Pelodiscus sinensis: one gene and its partner. Each later gene encodes a partner of the first gene's protein in a complex. Links are inferred from orthologs where the notes say so. Each region holds a gene or a part of one and is shown on either strand. Other genes may lie near its edges. The genes, in order: NFS1 and ISCU.

Region 1 (15,598 bases):
TAGACACTGGAAATGCTTTCATCTGATGGTCCTTTCACTTGGCTGATAGTCCTTTCACTTCCATTCTTTTGTCTTTTAGGCATTAGGAACAGATCATAGAGAATATTGTTTTTGTGTAAGCTGAGCCCTGTAAGATAATAGTGCTCTATGTTTCTGCTAATCTTTCCCATTCACATGCGAAATAATTTTATGTGCACTGAAGCATGTGTGAATGTGCACCACCAGTAGAAACAGAAAGCACAAATGTGGGTACTCTGACAATCAGCTGGGCCATATTTGAATCTCTACTGAGCAATGCACAAGTGTGCAGCTCACAGTGAAAACGGATCTAAATGGAGAATTTTTATGTTTGCCAACAAGCAACTTACCTTTAAGTCTATGAGCCCATTTCTTTTAACAGGCAAGTATGTGATACGAAAGCCTTCAGCCTCTAAATAACGGCAAGAGTCCAGCACACACTTGTGTTCTGTCTGAGTTGTAATAATATGCTTCTTTCTGGATTTATAGAATCTTGCAACACCCTGGCATTCACATTAAATGAAAAATAAAACTGCCATAAAATTGCTTAACAGGAGTCATTTACATATATTCAAAGGCACCTGACACCAAGCAAAAAAGTTTCCCTCGGCATCTCTTGGCATGACACGGTCTGAAATGGCTAATGGGAGACTCTCTCATGAAGAGAATCAGCCACAACATTCTTGTGAGCCTTACTCACGGGGTGATTCTGTGCAAAGAAACATTCAACCTGAAGAAGCAGGGAGGCAATAACCCCACATTCCAGCCCTCTTAAGACAATCCCCACCAGTGCTCCCTCTAAGCTGCACGGCCGCACAGCTTCACAGGTGATTCGTCGGCCCTGTCCAGTCAGTCAGCTCCATGCACAGAGCCTTGAGCTTCTGACCGGGTAGGGCAGATTAATCATCTGTGAATCTGCCCTGCCCCTCAGCTTAGAGCAGGGCTACTCAAAACTGGGCCCGTGCGCCTCATGTGGCCTATTTGTTTGCAGCCTACAGTGAGATTTGTGTTTATGCAGGGCTCAACATGCGGCCTGTGGGTGGGAACCCTTGAACATGGCCTCCACTGGGAACACGCTCCACAACGGTGACGCATTTCCCAGGTGGGGTGAGCACTGAAAGACACAAGTGGACTGGCTCACACGGGCCATGTTTGAGTCTGGCACCGTGGCTTAAGGCTTAATCTTTGTATACATGCCCATCAGTGTGAATGCAGCTATTTGCATAGATATTTGCATGTATATGCAACCACACTTAAGTTGTGGCCCTTGGCATGTGCTGTGAGTTCATTGTAGCCCGCCGGGGTTCCAAAGTTGAGTAGCCCTGGCTTAGAGGCAACACACATCACCACTCTTTCTAATCATTTACTCAATTATAATCTACCAATGTTATTTGCACTAAACTAGACCATTTAGTTATTTACAATTGCTACCTAAATATATAGCTTTGAATTCTGGAATATTTATTATGAAAGGATTTATAATTTTCTGCTTCTTTGGAGTGAGATACTGTAGAATAAAAAATATTCTAAATATTAGTAAGGAAAATATTCACCTATGCTTTAAAGGATCGAACACTTTGGGAAAAGCTTGATAATCAAGATTTCTGCCACTCTTTATGACCAAGATTTGAGTTATATGGAACATAAAACTTCATCTGGCACATCTGGGACAAAAGGAGTTTTAATCCCCACATGCATATCAAAAACAGTTAAGGTTGAAGGGGGTGGAGGGGCGACTCCCCTGTGCTCTAAAACGAGGATGGACAATTTCAGGCCCAAAGGAATTTCTGGGACATCAAGGTTAACTGTGGGGATTTCACTACAGTTCAAAGATTTCTTCATTTTACAGAACAGGCTAAGTATGGCTCCTCTGCCAAAGCATGGGTCATGACCAGCCCATTCCTGCTCACCACTCCCTGCAGTAATGCTGGGGCACAGCAGTCCATGCCTTCATTTCACAAGCTGGTCAACAAACAACGATCTTGACTAAAATCACTGTCAATTTATTAACAGTTCAGAACCACAAATGGATCACTGGCAGGTTAACAACAGGTCTTTAACACCAAATCATTATAGATTCAAAGTAATTTCGTATATATCATTTGTTTTATAAACCAGCAATTATTTACCTTAATTGCTAAATTATTTGATTCTGTAGCTCCACTGGTAAAAATAATCTCTCTAGGATCTGCTCCTATCAACGACGCAACTTGCTGTTTAAAGAGAAAGAAAAATATGATATCCTACTTTAAGAATGAGAAGGGGTTCATCACAAACAGAATACGCACAGCATCTCCACCACTCCAATACTAGCCCAGCCTGGACAGGGTAGATAGATTCTATCTTAAGAAATGACATTGCACTTGTATACTTCCTCGTCTAGTGTGGCGGGGGGTTTGCATAGGCTATCTGCATTCAAGACTATTACTTGTGAACATAAATCCTCCTGAAAAGAAGGGGAAAATGCAAGAAACATTCAGTGTATTCAATATTCAGTATGTCCCAGAGGCAACCAAAATACAGCCCTAAACTTTCACAGCAAGGCAAAAATCCATTGACCTAGAATGTGAAAACAGTAGTTACTGAAATGGCAGATACATGCCTGAGAGGGAGGTTTTCAAAGGCGCCATAGGGATTTATGACAAGTGCCATTTGCTTTCAAACCCCCGAGCAGCTTTGGAAAGCCTCACTTCACCCCCAAGTCATTTAATTCTACCACTTAAATTGCTTTAGTATAAAACATGTTTCATTTTGAGTTTGCCAAACTAGACCTCACATGGGAAACACTTATGCTGCTAGAGATCAAGTTACCAAGTCTCACCTACTAGGAGCTACACCAGAAAGATGGGGATTGGCGCACGTAAACTTAGACAGGCTCTGAGAAGCCTCACCTGCCTGGCTCGTTCCATAGCAGACTCACTCTCCCAGCCATAGGCATGAGTCCTGGAATGGGGGTTGCCATAGTAGTGCATTAGATAAGGGAGCATGCTGTCCAGAACTCTGGGGTCCTAGAAGACAAGAAGCAATTGTTAAAAGCAGTTTGTTGTTCCTCCTCCTTTCCCCTGCAATAGATAAGCCAGAGGAGGGGAACCTACAGCCTGCAGGCCAGATCTGGTCCCTGGCTTTACTTGGTCTGGCCCGCAGTGAAGCTGACTCAGGGCCCACACCCCTACCAGCAGGGCAAGCCAGTGATAGCACTCCAGCCCTGCTGCAAGTCTCCCTGCCTCAGCACCACCTTTGGGACTAGAGCACTAGCACTGGCTCGCCCACGGCAGTGGGAAGGGAAGCCCAAAGCCTTGCCTAGGGCAGGATCAAGGGAAGCCAGGGGCCAGATCTGGGCCCACAGAGATGGCGCGTAAGGGAGTCCTGACATCCTGAGTGTGTCTAGGAGTCTTTCCACCCTGAGGTCAGTGAGGGGTTTGGTTTTGTTTGTTCGTTGTTTCTCCAGGGCCAGGCCCCTGAGGGGTTTGTTTTCTTTGTTATTGATTCTTCTTACTCGTCTATGACCCCTGAATGATTTTTCTTTGGATCAGTGGCTCTCAACCAAAAAAAGGTTCCCTGCCCTTGACATATGTGTCACTTTATCCCAGGCCAGCTGCCAGCGTATTCCAAACTACTGTGAATGCACAAACATTTTGCATATGCTCTGTATTAACCTATCCAGTGAGCAGCAAACAATTCTGAAACATTTTATGTTTTATCTAAGATGGCTCTTCATCGCTGCAGATTTATTTAATTCAAATGACATGATTAGACAGTACTTGATGATAGCCACCACCATAAGGTGCATTTATTTTACCTTTTCCCCAGGAATATTAAGAGGTTTCTAATTATTAACCCTCACAATATCTAAATGTTGATGAAAGACATTCTGGCCATAATACATTTATGCTGAAGGAAGAAGACTGGACTTTCAGACAAAGACCCACTTCTCAACTGTTACTGAGGTACAACGATAGAATTTTAGTTGCATACTACCCTAAAGCTGGTTTGATGCAGCACTGAATAGTAATGCTTATCACAGTGACCACAAAAAAGATGGTGAGTGCCTTAAACTGGGTAAACTACTGGACTCTTTTTTAAGCACAAATAAGACCGTCTCTTCTCAGTCCCTCCAGCTACGTTTACATTGCGCTCTCTTGTGCAAGAACATACGCAAATGAGGTGTGGCGATATCGCCGCGCCTCTTGCATAGTTAATGAGCTGCCATTTTGCACACGGGGTTTTGCACAAGAAGGAGCAATCTATACTCCTTGTTGCGCAAAAACCCTCTCTCGCGCAAGAGCCTTTCTGCCACTTATTTTCAGGCAGAATGGTTTTTGCGCAAAAACGGCGGCTCATTTGTATATGTTCTTGCACAAGACAGTACAATGTAGACGTAGCTTTCATGTGTAGTGAGAAAGAGCGAATGATGGGGAAAGCCAAGATGTAGTTGGGGGTGAGATTATGTTCATTATGAGAACAAGAAGCTTGAGTCTGATGCGGGAAGAGAAGAAAACTAACAGATGGAGTGATTGTGGGAAGGAATGACACATCAAGAATGAATGAGGAAGACTAGATATTGGACTTTGTTACAAAGGGTTCATTCTCCCTCAGAGAGTACTGAAAAAACAGCTTTTCCCCCACAGATACTGGGAAATCAAGTGTAAAAATGTAATAAGAAAAGCAAAAAAAGATTTTGAGGAACAGCTAGCCAAAAACTCAAAAAGAAATAACAAAATGTTTTTTAAGTACATTAGAAGCAGGAAGCCTGCTAAAAAACCTGTGGGTCCCCTAGATGTTCGAACTATAAAAGGAGCAATCAAGGACGATAAAGCCATTGCGGAGAAACTAAATGATTTCTTTGCTTCAGTCTTCACGGCTGAGGACGTTGGGGAGATTCCCGAAACTGCACCGTCCTTTGTGGGTGATGAACCTGAGGAACTGTCCCGGATTGAAGTGTCATTAGAGGAGGTTTTGGAACAAATAGAAAAACTTAACGTTAACAAACTCCGGGACCAGATGGCATTCATCAAAGGGTTCTAAAAGAACTCAAATGGGAAATTGCTGAGCTATTATCTGTGGTTTGTAACCTATCCTTTAAATCGGCTTCCATACCTAATGACTGGAAGGTAGCCAACGTGACACCAATATTTAAAAAGGGTTCTAGAGGCGATCCTGGCAATTACAGACCGGTAAGTCTAACTTCAGTACCGGGCAAATTAGTCGAAACAATACTAAAGAATAAAATTGTGAAGCATGTAGAAGAACATAATTTGTTGGACAAAAGTCAACATGGTTTCTGTAAAGGGAAATCCTGTTTTACTAATCTGTTAGAGTTCTCTGAAGGGGTTAACAAACATGCAGATAAGGGGGATCCAGTAGATATAGTATACTTGGATTTTCAGAAAGCCTTTGACAAGGTCCCTCACCAAAGGCTCTTGTGTAAATTGCATGGCCATGGGATAAGAGGGAAGGTCCTTTCTTGGATTGAGAACTGGTTAAAAGACAGGAAACAAAGGTTAGGAAGAAATGGTAAATTTTCAGAATGGAGAGGGGTAACTAGTGGTGTCCCCTTAGGGCCAGTCCTGGGACCAATCCTTTTCAACTTATTCATAAATGATCTGGAGAAAGGGGTAAGCCGTGAGGTAGTAAAGTTTGCAGATGATACAAAACTGTTTAGGATAGTCAAGACAGAAGCAGACTGTGAGGGACTCCAAAAAGATCTCACCAAACTGAGTGATTGGGCAACAAAATGGCAAATTAAATTTAATGTGGATAAGTGTAAAGTAATGCACATCGGGAAAATTACCCCAACTATACGTACAGTATGATGGGGGCTAATTTGGCTACGACAAATCAGGAAAGAGATCTTGGAGTTATCGCGGACAGTTCTCTGAAAACTTCCACGCACTGTGCAGCGGCGGTAAAAAAGGCAAATAGGATGCTAGGAATTATTAGGAAAGGGACAGAAAATAAGACACAGAATATCTTACTGCCCCTGTATACAACTATGGTACGCCCACATCTTGAATACTGTGTACAAATGTGGTCTCCTCACCTCAAAAAAGATATTTTGGCCTTGGAAAGGGTTCAGAAAAGGGCAACTAAAATGATTAGGGGTTTGGAACGGGTCCCATATGAGGAGAGGTTAAAGCGACTGGGACTTTTCAGTTTAGAAAAGAGGAGACTGAGGGGGGAATATGATAGAGGTCTATAAAATCATGAGTGGTGTGGAGAGGGCCGATAAAGAAAAGTTATTGATTAGTTCCCTAAATAGAAGAACTATAGGACACCAAATGAAATTAATGGGTAGCAGGTTTAAAACTAATAAAAGGAAGTTCTTCTTCACACAGCGCGTAGTCAACCTGTGGAACTCCTTGCCAGAGGAGGCTGTGAAGGCTAGGACTATAATAGAGTTTAAAGAGAAGCTAGATAATTTCATGGAGGTTAGGTCCATAAAAGGCTATTAGCCAAGGGATAAAATGGTGTCCTTGGCCTCTGTTTGTCAGAGGCTGGAGAGAGATGGCAAGAGACAAATCGCTTGATCATTGTCTTCGGTCCACCCTCTCTGGGGCACTTGGTGCTGGCCACTGTCGGCAGACAGGATACTGGGCTAGAAGGACCTTTGGTCTGACCCACTACGGCCGTTCTTATGTTCTTATACTCATGAGCATTTGGACTCACTTATTGAAGTCTGCATTTCTCATTGTTAAGATTGTGTCATGGTTACTTGTAGTAAAAGTAACAACATTCACAGAAGGCTGTAAATAAAATACTAAAAATAATGGCGGTGAGGAGATGACTGAAGCTTGAGTGGTGGGGGATGAGAGCTTAAGTGCTGTGGGGGCAGGAGAGATCTGCACTGAGAGCAGCAGGGGAGGGAACCTCTTCCAGCACTGCTGGAGAGCTGCAGGAGGAGAGCGCACCCACTCCCCGGGGCTGCGACCAAAAGCTTTAGTCCAAGACTGATACAAACCAACGTCACAGAGAGTTCTAGAAATCACAGAATCTGTGATTTCCAGGACACACCTTGCCCATTAGGCAAGTAGCCTATCAGGTTACAACCACAGGGTTCATTCTAGGGCACCAGCATATGTTCGCATCACTTCATTTTACTAACCAGAGAAGTAGTTGCCTGGACATCCATATACAATGGCCGGAGCGTGGATTCTTCACTAAGACCCTTTTCTACAAAGGGAAAAAAAACACAGGACAGTGATAGCTGCACAGCAAGCACAAAGTACAAAGAAGGACACAATGGGAGAGAGAGGAAAAAAGCAAAACACTGCAACAACAGAAGCTGAAAGTGGCTTCAGGAAAAGAACATCGGAGAAACCACAGTCAGCAGAGTACGTGTCCACTGAGAACACACAGCGCACTTGGCACGCTGAAGGAGAACTAACCACTGCCTGTGTTGCTAGGAAAGCGGAGGAAGACACCCGTGTTCTCTGGCAAGTGGCCACAGCCAGCCCAGGTCAACAGTGTACATGAAAGGAAACATCAGGAGTCCTGAAGCTTCACCACACTCATCAGCCGGAGGTATTTCTATGGCCACCATCACCAACAATCTTCAGGACATTCACTACACTCAGGTGAGGCATGACCCATTTTACAGGAGGCAAGCGAGGCCCAGAGAAATCTGCCCACAGGCCAGGGTGCCAACGTTCCCCTGGCCCTGCCCCACGCCCTGCAGCCCCCTTCACTTGGTGGCTCGCTCACCCACCCTCACTGGGCTGGGCAGGGGCTTAGTGTGGGGGGGGCTCTAGGCTGGAAGCCTGAGAAGGGGCAGAGGCTGAGGCATGGGCAGGAGGCAGAGCTTGGGGTGCAGGGATCAGGGTTTGGGCACGGGAGGCATGGGGGGGGGCTGGGGGGGCAGAGTTTGGGGCGGGGGTCGGGCTGAGAGGAGGGCAGAGATTGGGGGCAGGGGGGCGAGCTGGGGGGCAGAGTTTGGGGGGCGGGCTGAGGGGGGAGCCGAGTTTGGGGCGGGGGGTTCGCGGAGGGGCGGGGGGGCTCCCATCGGCCCCAGGGCCCCGCCCAGCCCGGCCCGGCGCGCTCACCCCGGCGCGGCGCCGCCCTCGACACCCGCCGGGCCCCCGGGCCGCCGAGCGCGCGCGCCCCCGCCCCCCGCAGCAGCAGCGACAGCGACATCTCCGCGCGGCCAGGCCGGAAGCTTCCCCTGACCTTTCACCCCCGCGCGTCATCGCGGCGCGCCGGAAGTGGCGGCGGGGCTGGCGCGGCGGCCGGAGGCGCGAGCGAGGTGAGGCCGCGGGCCGGGGGGGTCGGCGGGTTCCCAGGGGCCCCCCCCCCGGCTGTGGGCGGGGCCTCAGCGCCTTCTCTTGCAGATGCCGGTGAGCGTGGGGCCCTACGGGCAGGCGCAGCCCAGCTGCTTCGAGCGGGTCAAGATGGGCTTCGCGATGGGCTTCGCCGTGGGCGTGGCGGCGGGCGCGCTCTTCGGCGCCTTCTCCTGCCTCAGGTAGGGGGCGGGGCCCGGGCACGCGCGGGGGGGCGGCGGACAAGCTGGACCCCCCCGCTCCACAGCCCCAGGAGCGCGGGGGCCGCGCGGCGCCACAAAACATTCCATTCGCCAGAGTAGCGGCGGGCTGCGAACTGCCGCCTCCTGCCTGCGGGGGGAGGGGCGCGCCGAGCCCAGAGCCCGGCTCCCTCTGCGCCCAGCCTGCTGCCCTGGCCCTGCCCGCACCTCCCGCAAACTCCGGTACGAGCTCAGTGTGCAGCGCTGCCGGATCCTGGGAGACCGGCTTGGCTACAGTCGTGGCCCACTGGGCTGGAGGGCGGCTCGTGCAACCCACGTGCTGGTGTATACAGTCTAGAAGTGAATGAAGCCAAATCCAGTCTCATCTGTCATAGATTGTTGCTGCAGTAGCAGAACCTTGCACCGTTTCCTCTTTTTCAGGGTTGGCATGAGAGGACGAGAACTGATGGGCGGAGTTGGCAAAACCATGATGCAAAGTGGTGGCACGTTTGGGACATTCATGGCCATTGGCATGGGAATCCGCTGCTAATCTGGAGCATGGGATTGTTTTTAACCCGAAGACAAATGCCCCAATTCAGTCATTCCACCTCTGTAATATAATAAAACCTTTGGGTATCTAGAAAGTTAAATTCTCCGTCTCAGTGAGATTGGTATAAGGCTTCAATCGTGCTCTCAGATTCTAACTACAGGGTTTTCTACTGCACACCACACAGCCTCTGGTACGAAGCAGCAGGCCTAGTAGTGACCGAACTTACTGTCCTTCCCTAGGTGGTGAGGAGAACCTGAAATCTGACATTTTAAAGGTAGAAAGCAAAACTGATTAAAGAGCCACCCTCCTACACCTTCCACTCTTCCCATAGCTACAGGAACAGATTAGCTCCCCAGTTAAATAATGCTGTCTGTTCCAAGTGATCTCATAGGTGTCGGCTTTCAGCCTGGGCTTGACCAGCCCTCAGTTCCTTCCGTCTCTTGCCTCTGGGTCTCTGCTGGAATCCCCACTCCTGGAAATGTCCACTATTCCCTGCTGGAGATAGGACTTATTTGCATGATCTTGAGGAGCAGTGCCAAGGACTCAGCCCTGACAGCGGGTGGCCAAAGCCTCTCTCAGAGCTGCAGGGTATCTTCCTTAAACAAGGGGATGGGAAAGTGAAAGCCAGTCACTGTCTGGGACTGGGTTTCCCCAGCTGGCTCCCTACCAGTCTCTAGCGTCCCTTCTTCATGGTCAAGTTTTCCCCTGCTCCATGGCCATTTTCACCTTTGTAAGCTTCCCTTCTTCAGACAAAGCATGCTCTGTGCAGGTATGCTCATGGCACAGTTGGGGGCTGTCCTATCCCTGGCCTCACAAGCCCAGAAAGCTTTCTTGTTCAAGCAGCTGCCAGTCTCTTGGGGAAAAGCATGTTTGCATGCTACTTCCCAGCACCATGCTGCACCTAGCTCTGGGACAAGCGTGCCAGCTACCAGCCTTGCACCAAGAGGTGAGAGACCGTTGGAGAGAACAGCCACAGCAAAGTAGGTACATGGGCTGTGACTAGGAAACAGGGCTGCCCAGCAGTTTACCTGGCATTTCCATGAGCCACTTTGATGTGTGAGCCACCTTCTCCCTGGCAAACAGCTTTAGGCTCAAATATAGGATGGGGAACACTGTGCCTGCAAAGTTGCGGGACAGTCCCCCCCCCCCTTGCCTGTATCTGCAGCTGTGTAGAGAAAGGACTGGAGACATCTAGTCGGCAAGGACAGACATTCAGCTCAGCTGTACTGACAACATTAAAGCTTCATTGCAATAGCACAGCTCACCTTTGATCTCTTACATAAATCACTTCTAGCATGGCCTAGTTAGGTTTGGCAAAGTGAGCTAACCTCTGGCACGAAAGTGAACACTATTAGGTGACTAACTTGGCAGGCTCCACTTTAAAGTGGAAATGGCCCAAGGAGATTGAGGACAAAGACTGGATCTGCCACTAATCTTTATTAAGACTGCCACCCTATCACTCATCCACTTGTAGCATAAGAACAGCCCTATTTGGTCAGCCCAAAGCTCCATCTAGCTCAGGATACTGACTTCTGGCAGTGGCTAAAGCCAAATGTCCCAGAGTGAGTAAACAGAACAGGAGAAGGGATCATGTGATGGTTCTCTGTCACCCATGCCCAATTTCTGAGGGGGCAGGGACACGATTCTTACCCTGCCTGACTCTTATGTATTGATGGACCTGACCTCCATACATTTCTCAATACGCTGCTGAACCCTGTTACAAGTCCTGGTCTTCACAACATCCTCCAGCAAGGAGGTCTACAAGTTGACTGTGCTGTGTGAAGAGATACCTCCTTTTGTTTGAAACCTGCTGTGACGGCACGTTGGGGTCCCCTGTCTCCTGCACCCAGAAATGGCACAAACAGACTGCACCAGCCGGTGGAATAGAGGAAGTTTATTACCTCTCCAGGGATACAGCACAGCACAGATGTAATCTGGTCACAGAGCTGGGCTAGGATGCCTCAGGCCCCCTTGAGATGGGGGAGACTGGGCCCTTAAACTCCAGCCCCTTTCCATAGGCTGTCTCCTCCATGCTCTCAGACAGCAACTAACCCACACTCTTCCAGCCCTGCCCCCAGCCAGGGCAGCATTCCACCTTCCTTTGTTCCTCTCCATGGGGGGTGTCTGGCCATACTGGTTTGCATAGTGACTCATCCTGTTTTGCTGGGTCGTGGTACCCACGGCAGCCAGTGGGGGTTATCCCAGAGCCAGCAGCATAGAAACCAGCCAGGTACCCCCACTATGTCACACCTGCTACGGGCATTACTGAAGTGCCAACCTTTGTGTTCAAACTGACCTTAAGTTGATATGGAATTGAACTGTGGCATTGGCTTCGGGGACCAGGACTGTAGTCTGGCTCCTTCATTCTGTAATTCCGTGGTCACCAACCAATAGATCTCAGGGGCTCTAAGAGTAGCTCTTGAGCCCTCTGTGAACTGCGCACCTGCGCAGTACATTTACATTAGATTTCCTCATGTAATGTAGGCGGGGCTTCAAGGAAGGGGCAGGGCAGTAGATCTTCGCCTGTTCTGAGACTTAAAAAGTGATCTTGGGTGTAAAAAGGTTGGAGACCACTGCTGTAATTCCTTTGCCCCCTCCATTCTCAGTATTACCTCCCATGTCTCAGGTCCTTTGGGGCACAGGCTGAGATCTTTCTCCAACCAGTCCTAGAGTTGTCTCCAGCTGATGGTTTGTGACAGGTTCTCCCCAGGATCCCTGAGAACATGGTATCAAAATCTTCCTGACTTTTGACAGTGACTAATTGACATACTTGAACTGTTTCATAGAACACTAGAATTGGAAGAGACCTCAAGAGGTCCAGTCCAGTCCAGTCCCCTGCCCTTAGGGCAGGACCCAGTACCATCTGGACCCGTGCTCACCAACCAGTAGATCACGATCTACCGGTAGATCTCAGGGGCTCTAAGAGTAGCTCTTGAGCCCTCTGTGAACTGCGCACCTGCGCAGTACATTTACATTAGATTTCCTCATGTAATGTAGGCGGGGCTTCAAAGAAGGGGCAGGGCAGTAGATCTTTGCCTGTTCTGAGACTTAAAAAGTGATCTTGGGTGTAAAATGGTTGGAGACCACTGATCTAGACCATCCCTGATAGACATTTATCTAACCTACTTTTAAATATCTCCAGAGATGGGGATTCCACAACCTCCCTAGGCAATTTATTCCAGGGTTTAACCACCCTTAAGCTACGGCTACACTGGCATGAATTTCCAGAAATGCTTAAAACGGAATACTATTCCGTTTTCAGCTTCTCCAGAAACGGAGCGTCTACATTGGCCGCGGAGTTTCCGTGATAACGATGCGCTTTTCCAGAAAAGCGCGTCTACATTGGCGGCGCGCTTTTCCGGAAAAGCAAAAGCCCGGAACCATTTTGAAAAGGGCAAAGGCCACCAGACCTTTACGGGGGCGGGGCTGGAGCTCCGTCCAGATGCGTGGTTAAAGGGGTCTCGCCAGGTAGCTGTTGGTCTCGTGCTCCCGTGCCTTGGGACCTCTGCCAGGGACTGGCACCCTTCACAGGGTCGGTGGTTGCCCTGTGAGTTTTGGGGACACCACCCTTGGGCCCCCAACTGCTTTTCCCAGCGTCTTCTTTTTTCTGCCCTGCTCTATCTGCCATGGAGCCATGGGTGGCCATGTACCTGCTCAGACCCCTGTTGGACCTGTACATATGCCCTGGCGTTCATATACCAGGAGGCAGAGATCACCTTGGACTCCCTCACCAGGGAGGTCCTGGCAACCGCGTGGCATCAGCACCCTACCATAGACCGGCCCATCTGGACTTTGTAGACGACTTTGTCAGGGTGCCCATTGTGGCGCGCATCTCGCGGCATTCTTCCAGGAACGCAGCCCATCCCTCCTGCCGCCACTCCTGGTTCCCCTGCACACGCTCCGCAATGGAGGTCTGGATCCCCTCCACCGTGGTGACGTGACGCCGAAGCAGCTGGTCCCGGTGTCAGAGCCTGGGCTTCCGGGCTTGGGCAGCTGGGGGTGCCGCTGCTGCTGGAGTCGTGGGTCTGGTGCTGGGTCCCGCTGCAGGGAAGAGAAGAAAGGACGGGTCAGTCAGGCAGGCTGTCCACTGTCCCCACACCTCCATGCCCTCCACCCCGGAGCCCAGGTGACTGCACAGTTGTGGCTTGGGCCCACTCGGTTCCCCTCCCGCTCCCGTGTTGTATGTTGTCAAGGAGGACCGCCCCTGGAGTAGGGTCCTCCCTCCAGTATTGTAAGCACCAGTCTGTATCCTGGCCCTGTGCAGGGCGGGAGGGTGCTTGTGCTGTGTTCACCTGTGGAACTCCCTGCCGGTGGACACTGTGAAAAGCTTAGGGCTAATGAGTGGTGTTTGACAGGGAGCGAGATGCATCCCCACGGCAGTGCCTGGGAGCACACCTGTCAGTGGCGGTCTGGGCTCTCAGATCCCCTCGCGTGGGATATCTCCTGGACAGAACCAGAAGGGTGACTGGGTGGGGGGATGTCCCATCCTTGCAGCAAAACTCAGGGGCCCTTCTCCCTCCCACTATCCCTCCCGCAAGCCTGGTAGCCCAGGGACAGGTGTGGCCACAGTGGGGACTTCCCTCGGGGAACCTGTCAAAGCACTGGGAGCAGGTGAGGGGCTCGGTGGGGGTCCACGGTCACAGGACTGTGACACTGCGCTTATCCCAGGAGCAGCTGGCTGTGCCTCACAGCCAGGCATGGGACAGTGTGCCATTCCCTGTGCTGCACCCCTTGGTGGAGCTGCGGGCTCTGGGCTGAGTCCCTGGGGCCCTGGCCGGTTCCAGCCGGCATCCACCCTTCCCCCTGGTCCCGCCGAATGTGTGCGAGGAGCACGGTCCCAGGCGTGCCCTGCAGCTGCCTGCCACGGCCACCTGCCGCTCGGTCACCAGGCTGCACATGGTTGCACGTGCTGCTGCCTCATGCTACGCAGCGTGCAGCTCACGTGGCCTGAGTGACATGCTCCCCTTCTCCCCCCTCCGGGGACCTGGCTCTCCCTCCCCCCCGCCCTCCGCCCTTTGGGAGTGTAACCTTCAAAGACTCACCAGTGGGTTCCTCCCCGGCCACAGAGGAGCTGCTGGAGGAGGCCTGCTGGGTGGCAACGCTGGCCTCCTCTCCCAAAGCGCCGCCACTGTTGTCTCCCTCCTCCAGCTCGGTGGGACGGTTGATGGGGGGGGTGCTGGCAGGTGTCTACAGGGACAGCTGGGGCTTGCGGGGCTGGCTCACCCAGAAAAGAGTGCAGCCTCTCAAAATAGGGGCAGGCATCGGGTCCTGCTCCGCTCCCCTCCATGGCCCGCACGTACCCCAGCCACAGCTCCTTCACCTTGGAGCGCACCTGCTCGCAGTTGCGGCTGGGGTGGCCTTGCTGGGCCAGGTTTCGTGCCAGCCGGGTGTACAAGTCGGCGTTCCGGCGGTGGGACTGCAGGTCATGGAGACCCTCCTCCTCCTCCCACAAGTCCAGGAGGGTCTCCAGCTCCCTGGGGGTCCAGGATGGGGCCCTGCGTTTCCGGCCCCTGGGGGCTTCCTCCCCTGCCCCGGGTGACGGTGGCTGACGACCACCTGGAGCTGCCATGCCTGCACTGAAGTGGCTGGGCAGCACAGTTGCCACGTGGCAGAGCTGGGAAGGGTGGTCTCCGGGGGGCTCCTGCCAGCGTGCGGGCTCTTTAAGCCCTCGGGTTACGCGGAAGTCCGCGGCTTCTACGGGGTCTCCTGCCGTCCAAACCGCTTTTTTCTGTTTCTTCTGCTTTTCCGGAAAAGCTGTCTACACTGGCCCTTTTCTGGAAAAGCTTTTCCGGAAAAAGGACTTTTGCCCGAGCGGGAGCAGCGTAGCGTTTCCGGAAAAGCGGCTGATTTTCCGGAATAAGTGGCCCAGTGTAGACACAGCCTGAGCGTTAGGAAGTTTTTCCTAATGTCCAACCTAAACCTCCCTTGCTACAATTTAAGCCCATTTCTTCTTGTCCTATCAGAGGCCAAGAAGAACAATTTTTCTCCCTCCTTGTGACACCCTTTTAGATACCTGAAGACCGCTATCATGTCCCCCCGTGGTCGTCTTCTTGCCACACTAAACCAAATTATTTCAGTCTTCCTTCATAGGTCACGTCTTATAGATCTTTTATCATTCTTGATGCTCATCTCTGGTCCCTCTCCATTTTCTCCACATCTTTGTTGAAATGTGGTGCCCAGAACTGGACACAATACTCGAACTGAAACCTGATCAGCACAGAATAGAACCGAAGAATGACTTCTTGTGTCTTGCTCACAATGTTCGTTAATGCATCCCAGAATCATGTTTGCTTTTTTTTGCAATACTATCATGCTGACGACTCATATTTAGCTTGTGGTCCACTATGACCCCTAGATCCTTTTCTGCAGTACTCCTTCCTAGACAGTCATTTCCCATTCTGTATGTGAGAGACTGATTGTTCCTTCCTAAGTGGAGCACTTTGCATCTGTCCTTATTAAACTTGATCCTATTTACCTCAGACCATTTCTCCAGATCTTTTTGAATTACGACCCATCCTCCAAAGCACTTGCAGCCCCTCCCAGTTTGGTATCATCTGCAAACTTAGTAACTGTCCTCT
Region 2 (15,360 bases), on another chromosome or scaffold:
TCCTTTCCTGAAGTTTTGCATTTTTTTTAATTGCTCTAAATCAAACTATTGCAAAAATTCAGGGAAAACTAAAAATAATGGTCTGTTGGCAATGGGGATAAGAAAAGCTGAGTGAGCAGTTCCATCACTTTTATTCTATATCAATTCCCTGGGTGGTCAGAGAATAATTCCTTTTGTACATGATTTTTAGAAGTTCAAGAGTGGCTTTGAAGAATTAACAAATAGCTACTACTGACTAGGGATGTAAGCGACCAGTCAACTATGCCATAAGCATGCGCTTATCAAGTATCTGAGTAGTGACTCTACCAGTCGCTTTCCTCCCAACCACCTTGCTTCCTCTACCAGAGGAACAAGGAGTGGGGGGGGGGGGGGGTCAGTGCTGCGGGAAGCTAGCTTTAAAGCCGGTTCCCTGGAACCATCAGGGACAAAAAGGACAGAGAGGCAGAGGTGTAGCGGTGGACCAGGTATGAGCCAGGAATCAGCTGTCCCAGCTCACACCCGGTCCCAGACACTGCACCTCTGCTTTTCAAAATGTATTAAGAGCTGCTAAGCTCTTAATATGTTTAAAAGGTAGAGCCACAGCAGGGTTAGCTCCTGGGGCCGGGAACTAACCCCATTGTAGCTCTGCAGTTTACCCCCTTATTGACTGCCTGAGTAGTTGATGGAAATTCCATTGACTAACTGATTACCTGATTGCATACAAATTTAACATCCCTACTACTGACACATCAATAATATCTGCCAATTCATTTCACAGCTAGCTCCACCACTATAATACATGAAGCAAACCTGACTGTTCAGCCTAATAATTAGGTACTTAGCAGCAGCCATTGCTTGATGAATAGGTGTGAACAAGTACCAGATATTTGTCTCTCTTTTAATGAAAGTCCCAGCGGCCCAGTGCTGTGAAATGTGGGTTAGCTTGAGTATTTAAGTAGGTAGGTTAATAAAGGATTATGTCTTTTTTGTAATTAATAGCAACTCACTCTTAAAAAGCTTTTACAGACTGTGGACATAATAGAAACACATGAAAGAGAGCAGGAACTAAAAAATAAGGTCTACAGAAAAATGCAAGGTACTGAAAATAAGCCTTTTAAAAACACTTTCTAAAAACAAGAACAGAAGAATTAATTATAGGATACAGGATTCAATATCTGTAAGGACAGACTCCTCATCAGGTAACAGCAAGATACAAAGCCAGGAAATGTAGTGTTAATCAGCTGCTCTCCACTGAAATCAATGAAATGATACAATAGAGCTGAATCCTTCAACAACTTCTCTCCAATTTGCATAAATTTCAAATCTCCATCTAAGTATCATCAACAGATTGTGAGTTATTACTTTTAAAACAGCTATTCTTTACCGCACAGATCCAAAACAAATTTGGGGGAGTATTTTTCACAGTATTAACCATAAGAAAGCAGTGAAGAAGAATGCAAAACTACAAATGTTTATTTTGCAGGGGATCTTTGCAACTTACAGATATAGTCTTTCACAGCTCTCTCAAACAGCTCATAAACCTTCTCACGATCAGTGTTTTCAGAAGCCATCCTTATCTCATCCTTCAACCAATCTAGCCAAATTTCTGAAAAAGAACAGGAACTTCAGAGGTACATTACCAAGAATATTCAAAAGAATCCAAAAGATAAGAAATTAGTTTAACTTGGCATCACTACATAGCATAGTTTGAAAATGTGGTTATTTTTTGTAACACTTTTTTGAACTTTTACAGTTAGCTATAACAAATTTTACTAAAGCTTTGGCCAGTTTTTACAATCCTACCACCAAATATTTAAGTAAATATCTATCTATTTGTAAAGGTAGAGCATTACCATGATGCTTATATGATAAATGTCAGTTCAATTCCCAGGGAACAATGGCCCATAGCACAAGTGATTACTAGCACAATTTGTACCCTTCTAGATACACAGCAGATGCCAATCACTGAACAGCCACAAAGGCGGTTCTCTCACCCTCTTTCTGGGAAGAGGCCCTTCCATGTCAGGTCAAGGCACGTCTGCCAGGCTGTACAGGGAAGTTTGCCCAGATGCTGTCTGTCCCGTCAATAAAAAAAAAATTAGGCTAATAGGCTATTTGTAACTTTCAACAGCATCCTTTTACAACATACAGTAAACCTCCGATAATCCGGCACCTTTAGGACCCACGGGGTGCCGGATTATCAAATATGCCGGACTATCAGAAGGGGGGGGCTATGAGGGGTCTGGGGTGGGGTGGGGAGATGCTACCCCAGACCCTCTCATAGCCCTCCCTTCTGTTAGTCCGGCTCTGCCCCAGGAGCCCCTGATTCAGCCGCTGCTGGTCAGTTTCAGCAGCGGCTGAATCGGGGACGCCTGCAGCAGAGCAGCTGGAGTGCTGCCGGGTTGGTCCGGTAGCGCCGACCCTTGGCGCCGCGAGACCAACCCGTCAGTACCCCAACTGCTCTTGGGGACGCCTGGGGCAGAGCAGCTGGGGTGCTGACGGGTTGGTCCCACAGCGCCGCTCCTCGGCACTACTGGACCAACCCGGCAGCACCCCAGCTTCTCTGCCCCAGGTGTCCCCAAGTCAGCCGCTGCAGAAACTGATCAGCGGCTGACACCAGAAAGCCAGAGGCAGAGCTGCTCTGCCCCGGGCTTCCTGGAGTCAGCCCTGGTCAGTTTCAGCAGTGGCTGAATCAGGACGCCTGGGACAGAGCAGCTGGGGCGCTGCTGGGTTGGTCTGGTAGCGCCAAACCTCGGCGCTGTGGGGACCAACCCAGCAGCACCCCAGCTGCTCTGTCCTAGGTGTACCCAAGTCAGCTGCTGCTGAAACTGACCAGTGGCTGATTCCAGGAAGCTGGGACGGAGCAGCTCTGTCTCGGGCTTCCTGGAGTCAGCCGCTGGGTTGGTCCCGCAGCCCCGAGGGGCAGTGCTACTGGACCTACCCGGCAGCACTCCAGCTGTTCTGCCCCCTGCTTCCCGGATTCAGCGCTGATCAGTTTTAGCAGCGGCTGAATTGGGGAAGCTGGGGGCAGAGCAGCTCCAATGGTCCGGCTACCCAGAGCATTTCCGGGTTCCTGATGGTGCCGGACCATCAGGAGTGCCAGACCGTCAGATGCCGGACCATCAGAGTTTTACTGTATTATGAAATATTAACCTTTTGGCAGGAATTTGTATGCTCAACACTGGACTTCATCATCAGAAGCATCCACTAACTACAATCCCCAAAAATGTCTGATTTGTACTTCCATGTTAAAATTCAACACCACTATTTTACAAAATGTTCAATTTAGCTGCTAAAAACAGTGGGAGGAGCTTACAGAAGGATAACCAGTGTGAACTAAAGTAATCCTGTACCTTCAGTCAGGGGAAAGAGTTCACTCATCTTCTGGCGGGCTCTTCTAAGCTTTACCAGCTCTCCTTCCTGGCGAAGCAGTTTTATTAGGTCCAAGTGACAGTTATAGTCAAATGCATTGATGGAAAGCTTTAAAAAGGAGATGAAGAAATGTAAGAGAGTATATCCAGCAATTGGTTACTAGGGTAGAACTTCAGAGTTCTATTTTGGACTGTGCCATCAATTCCTTCAGTGTCTCAGGTAATGGCTACACTATAGAGCTTACAGCAGTGCAACTGTAAGCTCTCTAGTGGAGCTGCTCTCAGTGGACTGGAGAGAGCTCTCCAATTAATCCACCCCAACAAGTGGCAGCTGGAGAAGATCTCTTAACAACATAGAGCAGTTCACAATGGTTCTTATGTTGGCGTAATTTACATTGCTCAGGGAGTGGTTTGTTCACACCCCGAGCAACATAAAATACACCAGTCAAAGTGCTAGTGTAGACCTACCCCCAGACTGCTCAATGTGAAGTGAAAATAATACACGCCTTTCACCAGTCTGCATAAAGGTTGTGCAATGTTTCATTGTTTTCAAAGCCCACTGAGGGTACAAAATGAAAGATTCTATTTTGGCAGGTGACTGAACTGAGCCCTTGGAGCTAGAAGCCACTGTTTAATAATGTGGATCCTCAGGTGATAAGCATAATAAGCAGGTGCCTAAATCTCACTAAGCAGTTGTGCACATTTGTCTAATCATCATTTTAGTGGTAAAACTGATGGTTTGTATCCAAATTGCAGTAGATCCCACTTTTCAATAACACTGTACAAAAACGGAGAATTTGCTCCAGTAAACTAATATAAATATCCAAAAAATGTTAGCTTCCCATCTAATAACTGGAAATAGCAAACATAAGCAGTTCTCAAGATAAAATAGTAGTTTCTGAGATGTGAAAAGATCGAAGTTCTTTTCTAATTAAGGTTCTGCCTCCCTATTCTCAATGTACGTCAAGCTCAGAAAAACATTTGTTACTGCATGGTCCACCTTGCAGTTCATTTCAACAACAGACACGCATGCTTTCCAATTATATTAGTCCTCAAGAAGTTCTATTCCTGGTTGCAACCATCAATTATTTCAGTAATCAGTGCATAGAGAAAACCCTCTGAAGTTAGCACTATTCCAGTTTGCCATAGCAATTAAAACACCAAAGAATTACACAACAGAACTATTTCATAAAGATATAACATTTTCATAATTACCATGCTGAAATTAAAAGCGAAGAGCACATTTCTGTAGAAATTCTGAAAGTGTCTCCAACTGAAAGGGTTGTGTACCAAGACAGCTAAAAAAGGTACATATTTCAATTCTCGAACAGAAACCACACATAGTTTATGAATAGTATAATGTACATACATTACACATGATTATGAAACTTTGAATTTGTTAGCAATATTAGGGTTTAACTGATTAACTGTTTAACCAATCAGCTGATGCTTATCAGTTAATGGTACAGATTACACTCAACCAATTCCAGGGGGAGGTGGTTTCACTGCAGTAGGGAAGAGAAGTTTCCTTCCCAGGGAGGACAAGCAGCTCTCTTCCTCCTCCCAAGCGAGGTAGGCAGCTTCACTGAAGGCTCTACAGTACTGCTGAACCAGTAGCACATGTAGCCACTAAGATTTTTAGCAGTTTCACAGTTACCCTATTACACGATTTTTAACATCCCTTGTTCCACTGTGTGTTCAAAGAATTTGAGACTATAAACAAACAGAAAGGATTTCTTGATATTTTACAACAGACAGCAGAATTATACAATCCTGGATTAACACTACAGAATGAATGGGTGTGAATTCCCCACACCTAAAAGTTCACCCATCTATACTATCACATGTTCCTTATTCTCTTTAATCCACTAGTTCCAAAAATCTCTCCCTTTCTTCACATGTTAATTGTGCTCCAACATTTAATGGGGGGGCCACGATACAGACTCCATCACCTATTGATTCCTTTGCTCTATCAATATTAATGATGTGTACGGCCCTAGCCCCCACAAAATGCAACTCTGCTTCCTGTGCACACACAGACAATCCCTGGCCTATAGCTCCTAACAGATGAAGGCAAGCAGCGATAAGCAAGGGCAGAGAAGGATTCTGTTCTTCTGTGCACCCTACAGAAAGCGTGGGGGCTCCTGCTGAGCAGTGACTAGCCCCCAGTCTGGATGCTCACACCCCCCAAGGATGAGGGCCCGATGCTCTGGCCTGGGCGCTACTCGCAGAGCCCCCAGGGCGGCGCTTCCCTCCTGCACACCCCGAGCCGCAGCCGCGGAGCCGCCTCCCCCTCCCCGCGCGCTGCGGGGACCGAACCGAGGGTGACCCCGCCGGCCGAGGCAGGGCTGAGGGCGGCTCCACGCGCGAGGCAACGGGCTTCGCGGGCGCACCCGGCTCGCGCCCCGCCCCCTCCCCCCGCGTGCCCACGAGCACCGGGCCGCGATCCCCACCTGCTCCTCCAGCCGCTGGATCTCGGCTTCGTTCTCCTTCTCCTCGTCCTCGCCATCCGCCGACGAGCCCGAGTCGCTCTCGTCCCCGCCCTGCTCCTCCGGCCGCCGCTCTTCCTCCGCCGCCGCCGCTACTGCCGCCGTCTCTTCGGGCCCGGCTGCCGCCGCCTCCGCCATCTTGTGCAGCTACGCGCTGCGCACTGCCTGCCGACCTCGGCCAAGCCGCGGGGCTGCCGCTGGCGCGCCTGACTCGCCCGTCCCCGCGCAGATGCTGAACGCACCCCCGACAAGAAGATTGAAGGCCCGGGTGGAGCTCGCTGTACTCAGCTCTGCAGCAACGGCTGTTTCCGATTAGGGAGTCACGGCCTTCTCGTGATGGATTCTTACAGGCACCTGCGTGGGCTGCTGAGGTCCTCCTGGGCATGTCGGGGCCCTGAAGGAGGTCCCCCTGGCCAGGGCTTGTCGGTAGGGGAAGGACCCAGGCTTGGCCGCCATATTGTGTGTGGCAACTCTTCTGTACGCAGGCTCAAAGGCTTGCTTGGGCTTTGAGCACCTCTGTCCATAGCAAAATGGCTCGGGTCTTGTTGCTGCGTCCCCGCTCATCCTCCCACAACCATAGCAGGATGAGAGCCATTGTAATAACTGGACATTCAGTACACGATGTACGTGTATCATGGATGGTGCAGGGGCTAGTGCATAAGAAATTAAATATTCTCGTCTTTATAAAGTTCCCGTAGCTGCATCACTAGAGAATGGGATATGGCATGGGAATTAAATATGGTGAAATGTATTTGCAAAGTCCACCCCTCCATCCCTCTTACCTCTTTCTGGTGACCTTGCACAAGAAATTAAAACAGATATTTGCAAAACTCCCTCTGACCTGTCCAACCTCAGTGTTCAGGATGCTGTCTAAATATTTGATAAAACTGTAAAGCATCCTAAGGCAGCAAGGTCTGGAAATATGCAAATGGGAATATGAATAAAAAAACTTGCACCTCTTCTCTCCCCCCCCCCCCCCCCCCATTAGAACTCATTCCCTCAGAAGCCAAATGAGAAACCAAGTACTGATCACAACAGAGCAAGACTATTATTAGCTCTCTGGTCTGGAATCCTGACTAGCTAATTGTCAAACTACAACACTGTATAGGACAAATTCAGGCTTTGGATAAACTGCCTGGCTACGTCTAGACTGGCATGATTTTCCGGAAATGTTTTTAACAGAAAAGTTTTCCGTTAAAAGCATTTTCGGCACAGAGCGTCTAGATTGGCACGGACACTTTTCCGCAAAAGCACTTTTTGCGGAAAAGCGTCCGTGGCCAATCTAGACACACTTTTCTGCAAAAAAGCCCCAATCATCATTTTCGCGATCAGGGCTTTTTTGCGCAAAACAAATCTCAGCTGTCTACACTGGCCCTTTTGTGCAAAAGTTTTGCACAAAAGGGACTTTTGCCCGAATGGGAGCAGCATAGTATTTCCGCAAAAAACGCTGATTTCTTACAGTAGGAAATCAGTGCTTTTGCGGAAATTCAAGCGGCCAGTGTAGACAGCAGGCAAGTTTTTCCAGAAAAGCAACTGATTTTCCAGAAAAACTGGCCAGTCTAGACACAGCCCGAGAGTGGATCATCTGTCAGCCAGCTGTTAGGTGAGTCCTGTAAATGGTTCTGAACATGGTGCAAAACACAGTTGGCTTTAGAGATGTAAGTGACTAGCCTAAGCAACTAGTCAACTATTAGGTGGAAGGGAGCAGGAGCCTGTGCTGGGAAGAACCAATTAGGTTCCCACCACCATGTCTCCACTGTGGGATGGAAACAGAAGCATACCAGTTCCCACTCCTGGCACTTCTGCTTTTGAAATGTACAAGAGTCCTTTTTTGAACCCTGATCTTCACAATTTGCTCTAGCAAGGAGTTCCACTGATTGCAATAAGCCTGGAAGGCATAAACACATATCTCAGTGGGCTGGGTCTTCCCCGCTTGGATGGCTTGTTGCTCCCCTAGGCAAGTGGGTGTGTGCACAATGTGCACCGGGCCCAGGCACAGAACAGCTGTTGGTTAAGCCTGGGTTGGTTTCTGCCGGGCAATACTCGGGTTCATCCAGACCCGGCTATTGGCTCGCTCAGGCCTGGGCAGCTCTCCCGGGGCAGCGATGCCGAGCAGGCGTGGAGGGTCCATTTCCCAAGCGCAGAGCAAAAGGATGCAAAGCGCCGTAAACATGTCCTGGGGGCGCGCCCTGCTGCACGCGGCGCTGCGCGGCCCCCGCCGGCACCAGCAGACACGTGACCGGCCGGGTTGGATACCACAGGGGGGAGGGGCCGGACACGCGCCTTCTAGCTGCTGCTCTTTGAGCCCCGCAAGTCACTGCCCTTTGCCCCTCGCGAGGGGGCGGGGCCAGGACACGTGCGGGTCACGTGGGGGGCGTGACGCGACGCGCTCCTAACAGTGCGCGGGGACAGGGCGGGACATCTCGCGCTGCCCGCTGCCGAGAGAAGATGGCGGCGCTGAGGCTGACGGGGGGCTGGGCTGCCGCTGCGCTGCTGAGACCCGGGCCCGGGGGGTTGGCAGGCCCCGCCGCGGGGTATCACAAGAAGGTCAGTGAGGGGGCCGGGAGCAGCACTGGGGGCGGGGGGGGCCTTGTAGGCGAGATGTGAGTCCTTAGGGGCGGGGCGTGAGGGGGCAAGAGGCTGACAGCAGCGATGGGGGCGGGGGGGAGTAGAGAGGGGGGAGGGGAGTAGAGAGGGATGGGGGCGGGGGGGAGTAGAGAGGGGGGAGGGGAGTAGAGAGGGGTGGGGGCAGCATTGGGGGCGGGGGAGTAGAGAGGGGGGAGGGGTGGGGGCAGCATTGGGGGCGGGGGAGTAGAGAGGGGGGAGGGGTGGGGGCAGCATTGGGGGCGGGGGAGTAGAGGGGGGAGGGGTGGGGGCAGCATTGGGGGCGGGGGAGTAGAGGGGGGGAGGGGTGGGGGCAGCATTGGGGCAGGGGGGAGTAGAGAGGGGGAGGGGTGGGGGCAGCATTGGGGGCGGGGGGGAGTAGAGAGGGGGAGGGGTGGGGGCAGCATTGGGGGCGGGGGGGAGTAGAGAGGGGGGAGGGGTGGGGGCAGCATTGGGGGCGGGGGGGAGTAGAGAGGGGGGAGGGGTGGGGGCAGCATTGGGGGCGGGGGGGAGTAGAGAGGGGGGAGGGGTGGGGGCAGCATTGGGGGCGGGGGGAGTAGACAGGGGGGAGGGGTGGGGCAGCATTGGGGGCGGGGGGGAGTAGAGAGGGGGAGGGGTGGGGGCAGCATTGGGGGCGGGGGGGAGTAGAGAGGGGGGAGGGGTGGGGGCAGCATTGGGGCAGGAGGTTGTTGGTTGTGAGATCAGCATGGAGGGGAGGTAGAGCAGAGAGGGATTGGGAGGAAAGAACTTGGCAGGGGTGAAGAAGAGGATGGGATCCTGGGAGTTGTGTGGGAAACTTGGGACTGGGAAAGGAGAAGGAGGTCTGGCTATTGTGGGACTAGGGGGCTTATGGACTCCCATGCCCTTGAAGCTGGGGCAGCGTTGGGGAGGTTCTCAGCCGTGCCATGCACTGGGCTTTCTTGCAGTATGTTTTAAACTGCACAGACGTTGTGAGCGCTTTCCTAGACAGGGACTGTAGATACCATAATCCTTGCCAATAAAATTCCCTTTTAGGTAGTGGATCACTACGAAAATCCTAGAAACGTGGGCTCCCTTGATAAGAGTGCAAAGAACGTTGGCACTGGATTAGTGGGTGCCCCTGCCTGTGGAGATGTGATGAAATTACAGGTGAGTTATCAAATAACAAACATGATTATTTCTGTGTTCACTGAGAGATCTCTAGTATATTGAATATTATGAACTGACCACGCTGGTTATGTTGACAATCATATAAGCTGTTTGCCAGAAAAAAAGAGAGGACATGCAAGTAACTTTACAAAATGAAAAGTTACAGAATATGAACATATTAGTCTTAAATGAGAACTGCCTTCACATGAAACTTCTGGTGGATAATTCTGATTTAATGGTATTACAGGTGGTAAAATAAAAAATATAAAAGAGCCTCTATTTCATTTATATATCTGATTGTTTCCCATACATTGTCATGTTATCCACTGTTAAAATGTTCTGGTGAAAATCAACAAGAATATCAGGAGGATTTAGAGGCAGGTGTCAGCTCTGAAGACTACATTTAACTCACCTTTTGAAACAAAAGTAGACCTTAAGTGGATGATGTCCATTAAAGTCTACTTGTAACTGCTGTCTTAAACCACTAGTAAAATGACTTTCCGTTTCTAGAACTAAAATGTAAATGTTTTACAGTATTCCTTGCCTTACTCTTAGGTCCTATTCTGCTACCATGGATACCAATGTGAAGGATACTTTGCCTTGATTTCTGTGAATAGGTTGAAATCAAATCATTATCAAGCTGAGTCCTCTTCAGTTATAGTACCACAAGAATGTTATGTAACCAAATATATAACACAAATATTATATACCAAATCAATGTCATTGGAATTCTTGCAGGTTGAAGTAGATAAAAATGGAAAAATTGTTGATGCAAGATTCAAAACATTTGGCTGTGGATCAGCAATTGCCTCAAGCTCATTGGCCACAGAATGGATTAAAGGAAAAACGGTAAAACTGACTTCACATCTGTGAAAGAGCATATTACACAAAAACTAGCAGCATAAATCGCTATTAATGCTACACCATTCATTATTAGAGGCTATATGTGGAACCATGAGAAGCATAGTATGAAGTTTCCGTTTTACCTAGTGTGAATTTTTTCTACAATGAAGCAGGTTAAAAATATTTCATCCCTGTCAATGAAATGTGATCTAGTTTACTAATCTTAATTTCCATTTCTAGAAAAGCAGACCTTACTTTGATAGCTTAATTTTCAAAGTGGCTTTGGCCTACATAGCCAGAAATAATTTATGCATATTTTCCTGACAGAGGATATTGTGAAGACCAAGTCTTTAACAGGGTTCAAAAAAGAACTAGTTAAATTCATGGAGGATATATCCCTCAATATTTATTAGCCAGGATAGGTAGGAAGGGTGTCCCTAGCCTTTGTTTGTCAGAAGCTGTTCATATGAAAATTTTTTGCTTACGTCTGGTATCTTGGGATGGAAGGAGAATGGGAAAGATGTTGATAGGGTGGTCAGAGCAATTTGTTTATACACAACCCTTTTAAAATGCTTTTGCACTATCAGTAAGCATACCAAAATAATTCTTTGTATGTTTCTCTCACAACCCCATCCTGAAGGTTAGTCCTCAAAACACGTCTTTCACAAATCTGTGGCTCAAGATGACCACCTCAGGTGATTGATGACTAGCAGCCATAATCCTGTATTAATAGGTTTATAAATTTCAGGTTGACGAAGCCTTGAAGATCAGAAATACTGATATTGCTAGAGAACTCTGTCTTCCTCCAGTTAAACTCCACTGTTCTAGTAAGTTTGAGTTAAATGCAGCTTGTTTAAACACCGAACTGTCTTAATTTTTAGAACCTATATTGTCTAACCTAACCCAGAAACAACATAGTATAACTTACTGTAGTTTGACTCTACAATTCTTACTGAGGATTCTAGGTATTTGCAAAAGACATCAGTCAACAGGATGTCATTAGTGTTACCCACCTTTTGAGTCTGCCATAAATTCTCATGAATTAAATGCATAGCCCTAGTGATCTCTTTTAAGGTGACCTTCAAAAGAAACAAACAGGGTTTGGCTATTTTGGAACATATGATGAAGGCCTGAAAGACTTTGTTATATTTTTGTTAGAAGCCAGATCTTTCATCTAAGAGTCACCACTGACTCGAGAATTAGTGGTGTGACATCAAAGAGTCAAAAAAGGAAAGCTGAGCATTTAATCAGAAGGAAAGTCTTGTCTGACCAGTTTACCTTTCTCCAGAACATTAGTCAAGATTCAGTATCCCTTCTCCCTCAATGTAAATGTGAATTCAGACATAAATGACAATGAGAGCTGAAGTTCCTGGTGCTGGTAAGGTGAAGTAGCAACCCCCACTTAAAGAAAAATCCTCACTAATAAATGCCAAAAAATGACATAGGCCCCATTTTTAAATCTTTGTGGGCTCCCTTAAAAGGAATGTAACATATATTAAGGGTGTTGAATAAGATAGATTTCAATTAATTCCTGAGAGAAAATTAAGAGCATTCCCTCAACTAAGGAACAGGGCAGGCTTTGCTGTTGAAACACTCCTTGTGTGTATTAGTCGTAACCTGCAAAAAACACTAGCCTTCTCTTTTTCTATCAGTGTCTCTGCTGCATAGTACTATAGATACTCAATACAAACACAAATGCCTGTTTTTGCTGTTGTTGTTTAAGGTGGATCATTTTTACTCCCTATTTACAAACAGGGTTCTAAACACTTTTTTTTTTTTTACTTTTCAGTGCTTGCTGAAGATGCAATCAAGGCTGCTCTGGCAGATTACAAGTTGAAACAAGATCCTAAGAAAGAGTTGGAGAAGAAAGCAGCCAATACTTAAAACTAATGTTTGAGACTGTAGAGCTTGCTCTCATTCCACTTAAATCTACAGTGCAATTACTTTAGATGTTAGACATGAGAACCAGTGCAGTACTAAAAAAAGCTGTATAATACGCACATAAGATACGCACAATGTTTCACTGTTTCATGTGTATTAAACCACTGATGTGGTGCTCAAATTACTGGAATGTTTGAGCTTATTTCAGCACAGACTACTGGTCTATTCTGACTTCATATTATGTGTACGGATATGGGTGGCAGTTAGTTCTGGAGTGACAGTTGAGTTTTCAGCAAAGAAAATCCTGGTGTTTCAAATGTTAGAAGGTCTGAAATCCATAGACTAGCTGTACAGTTTTGTATAGTAAAAGGTAATATTGGAAAGTGTTCTGCCTTAGTCTGAATGTCTTATCCATGAAATTGCAGATCAGTTTTATTGCATATGCTGTACATAATTTATTAAACAATCTATGGCAATTCCTATTGGGTATAATTGTGTTAAGAACATAAGAATGGCCATACTGGGTCAGACCAAAGATCCATCCAGCCTGGTATCCTGTCTGCCGACAGTGGCCAATACCAGGTGCCCCAGAGTGAGTGAATCGAACAGGTAATGATCAAGCGATATTTCCCCTGCCATCCATTTCCACCCTCTGGCAAACAGAAGCTAGGGACACCATTCCTTACCTATCCTGGCTAATAGCCATTAATGGACTTAAATTCATGGAGGTTATCTAGTTCTCTTTTAAATCATGTTATAGTCCTAGCCTTCACAACCTCTTCAGGCAAGGAGTTCCACAGGTTGACTGTGCGCTGTCTGAAGAACTTCCTTTTATTTGTTTTAAACCTGCTGCCCATTAGAGGCCACCAAATGAAACTAGTTCTTATACTATGGGAACAAGTAAACAACATTTCCTTATTTACTCTCTCCATACCACTCATGATTTTATATACCTCTATCACATCCCCCCCTTAGTCTCCTATTTTCCAACCTGAAAAGTCCTAGTCTCTTTAATCTCTCCTCATATTGGACCCATTCGAAACCCCTAATCATTTTAATTGCCCTCCTCTGAACTTTTTCTAATGCCAGTATATCTTTTTTGAGATGAGACCACACCTCTATTCAGTATTCAAGGTGTGGGTGTACTGTGGATTTATATAAGGGCAATAAGATATTTTGTCTTATTCCCTGTCCCTTTTTTAATGATTCCTAACATTCTGTTTTGCTTTTTCAACTGCCACTGCATGCTGCATGGATGTCTTCAGAGAACTATCCACGATGACTCCCAAGATCTCTTTCCCAATTAGTTGTAGCTAAATTAACCCCCATCATATTGTTTGTATAGTTGGGGTTATTTTTTCCAATGTACATTACTTTACTTTTATCCACATTCAATTTCATTTGTCATTTTGTTGCCCAATCAGTTAGTTTGAACTTTTGGAAGTTCTTCAGTCTGCTTTGGTCTTAACTACCTTGAGCAGTTTAGTATTGTCTGCAAATTTTGCCACCTCACTTTGTCCAGATCATTTATGAAAAAGTTGAATAGGATTGGTCCTAGGATTGACCCTTGGGGAACACCTGTAGCTACCCCCCTCTCCATTCTGAAAATTTACCCTTTATTCCTACCCTTTGTTTCCTGTCTTTTAACCAGTTCTCAGTCCATGAAAGGATCTTCCTTCTTATCCCATGACAACTTAACTTACGTAAGAGCCTTTGGTGAGGGACCTTGTCAAAGACTTTCTGGAAATCTAAGTTCACTGTATCTGCTGGATTCCCCTTGTCCACATGTTTGTTGACCCCTTCAAAGAACTCTAGGATATAAGTAAGACATGATTTCCCTTTACAGAAACCATGTTGATTTTTGCCCAACAAATTATGTTCTACATGTCTTGAAAATTTTATTCTTTACTATTGTCTCAACTAATTTGCCTGGTACTGATGTTAGACTTACCGGTCTGTAATTGCTGGGATCACCTCTAGAGCCCTTTTTAAATATTAGTGCTACATTAGCTATCTACCAGTCATTGGGTTCAGAAGCTGTTTTAAAGGATAAAGGTTACAAACCATAGTTAATAGTTCCGCAATTTCACTTTTGAGGTCTTTCAGAACTCTTGGGTGAATGCCATCTGGTCCTGGTGACTTGTTAGTCAAGTTTATCAATTAATTCCAAAACCTCCTTTAATGACACTTCAATCTGTGATAATTCCTCAGATTTGCCACCTACAAAGGATGGGTCAGATTTGGGAATCTTCCTAACATCCTCAGACATGAAGACTCAAGCAAATAATTCATTTAGTTTCTCCGCAATGACTTTATCATCTTTTTAAGTGTTCCTTTTGTATCTCGATCGTCCAGGGTCCCCACTTCCTGCTTCTGATGTACTTAAACATTTTATTACCTTTTTGAGTTTTTGGCTAGCTGTTCTTCAAACTCCTTTTTGGCTTTTCTTATTACATTTTTACACTTAATTTGGCAGTGTTTATGCTCCTTTCTATTTTCCTCACTAGGATTGGACTTCCACTTTTAAAAAGGTGCCTTTTTATCTCTCACTGCTACAGGTTTTTAAGCCATGGTGGCTCTTTTTTAGTTTTTACTGTTTTTTAATTTGGGGGTATACATTTAAGTTGGGCCTCTATTATGGTGCCTTTGAAAAATGTCCATGCAGCTTGCAGGGATTTTACTTGAATCACAGTACCTTTTAATTTCTGTTTAACTAACCTCCTCGCTTTTGCATAGTTCCCCTTTCTGAAATTAAATGCCGCAGTGTTGGGCTGCTGAGGTGTTTTTCCCACCACAGGAATATTAAATGTTGTTATATTATGGTCACTATTTCCCAGCAGTCCTGTTATAGTTACCCCTTGGACCAGATCCTGTGCTCCACTCAGGACTAAATTGAGATTTGCCTCTCCCCTTGTGGGTTCCTGTACCAGCTGCTCTAAGAAGCAGTCATTTAAGGTATTGAGAAATTTTGTCTCTGCATTTCACCCTGAGGTGAAATGTACCCAGTTAATATGGGGATAGTTAAAATCCCCTACTATTATTTCTTTATTTTGATAGCCTCTCTA

What was found.
Region 2: the proteins of NFS1 (region 1) and ISCU are in contact, whole or in part, in a crystal structure (PDB 6W1D), measured with the Homo sapiens proteins. The link is inferred for Pelodiscus sinensis from reciprocal best matches to the Homo sapiens genes NFS1 and ISCU. Residues at the interface, in NP_066923.3 of Homo sapiens: Tyr360, Val361, Glu362, Glu364, Ser365, Leu367, Met368, Ala369, Lys371, Glu399, Asp400, His403, Ser404, His429, Arg432, Leu433, Glu435, Met436, Ser437, Pro438, Leu439, Glu441, Met442, Trp454, Thr455; in NP_998760.1 of Homo sapiens: Tyr35, Val40, His42, Tyr43, Glu44, Val49, Gly50, Ser51, Leu63, Val64, Gly65, Ala66, Pro67, Ala68, Cys69, Gly70, Val72, Lys74, Phe90, Lys91, Thr92, Phe93, Gly94, Cys95, Gly96, Ile99, Lys135.

Annotation. Positions count from the first base shown.
Region 1 is NC_134728.1:32,073,628-32,089,225, forward strand, and holds the start of NFS1 (cysteine desulfurase), read right to left. Parts: upstream 8,196-15,598; 5' UTR 8,149-8,195; coding exon 8,058-8,148; intron 7,189-8,057; coding exon 7,121-7,188; intron 3,027-7,120; coding exon 2,910-3,026; intron 2,232-2,909; coding exon 2,148-2,231; intron 522-2,147; coding exon 369-521; intron 1-368. Other genes in the region: ROMO1 (reactive oxygen species modulator 1), read left to right, coding at 8,343-8,473, 8,912-9,020.
Region 2 is NC_134725.1:36,564,285-36,579,644, forward strand, and holds ISCU (iron-sulfur cluster assembly enzyme ISCU), read left to right. Parts: upstream 1-8,228; 5' UTR 8,229-8,287; coding exon 8,288-8,386; intron 8,387-9,457; coding exon 9,458-9,571; intron 9,572-10,309; coding exon 10,310-10,420; intron 10,421-11,162; coding exon 11,163-11,241; intron 11,242-12,203; coding exon 12,204-12,298; 3' UTR 12,299-12,773; downstream 12,774-15,360. Other genes in the region: SART3 (spliceosome associated factor 3, U4/U6 recycling protein), read right to left, coding at 1,481-1,585, 3,333-3,459, 5,804-5,977.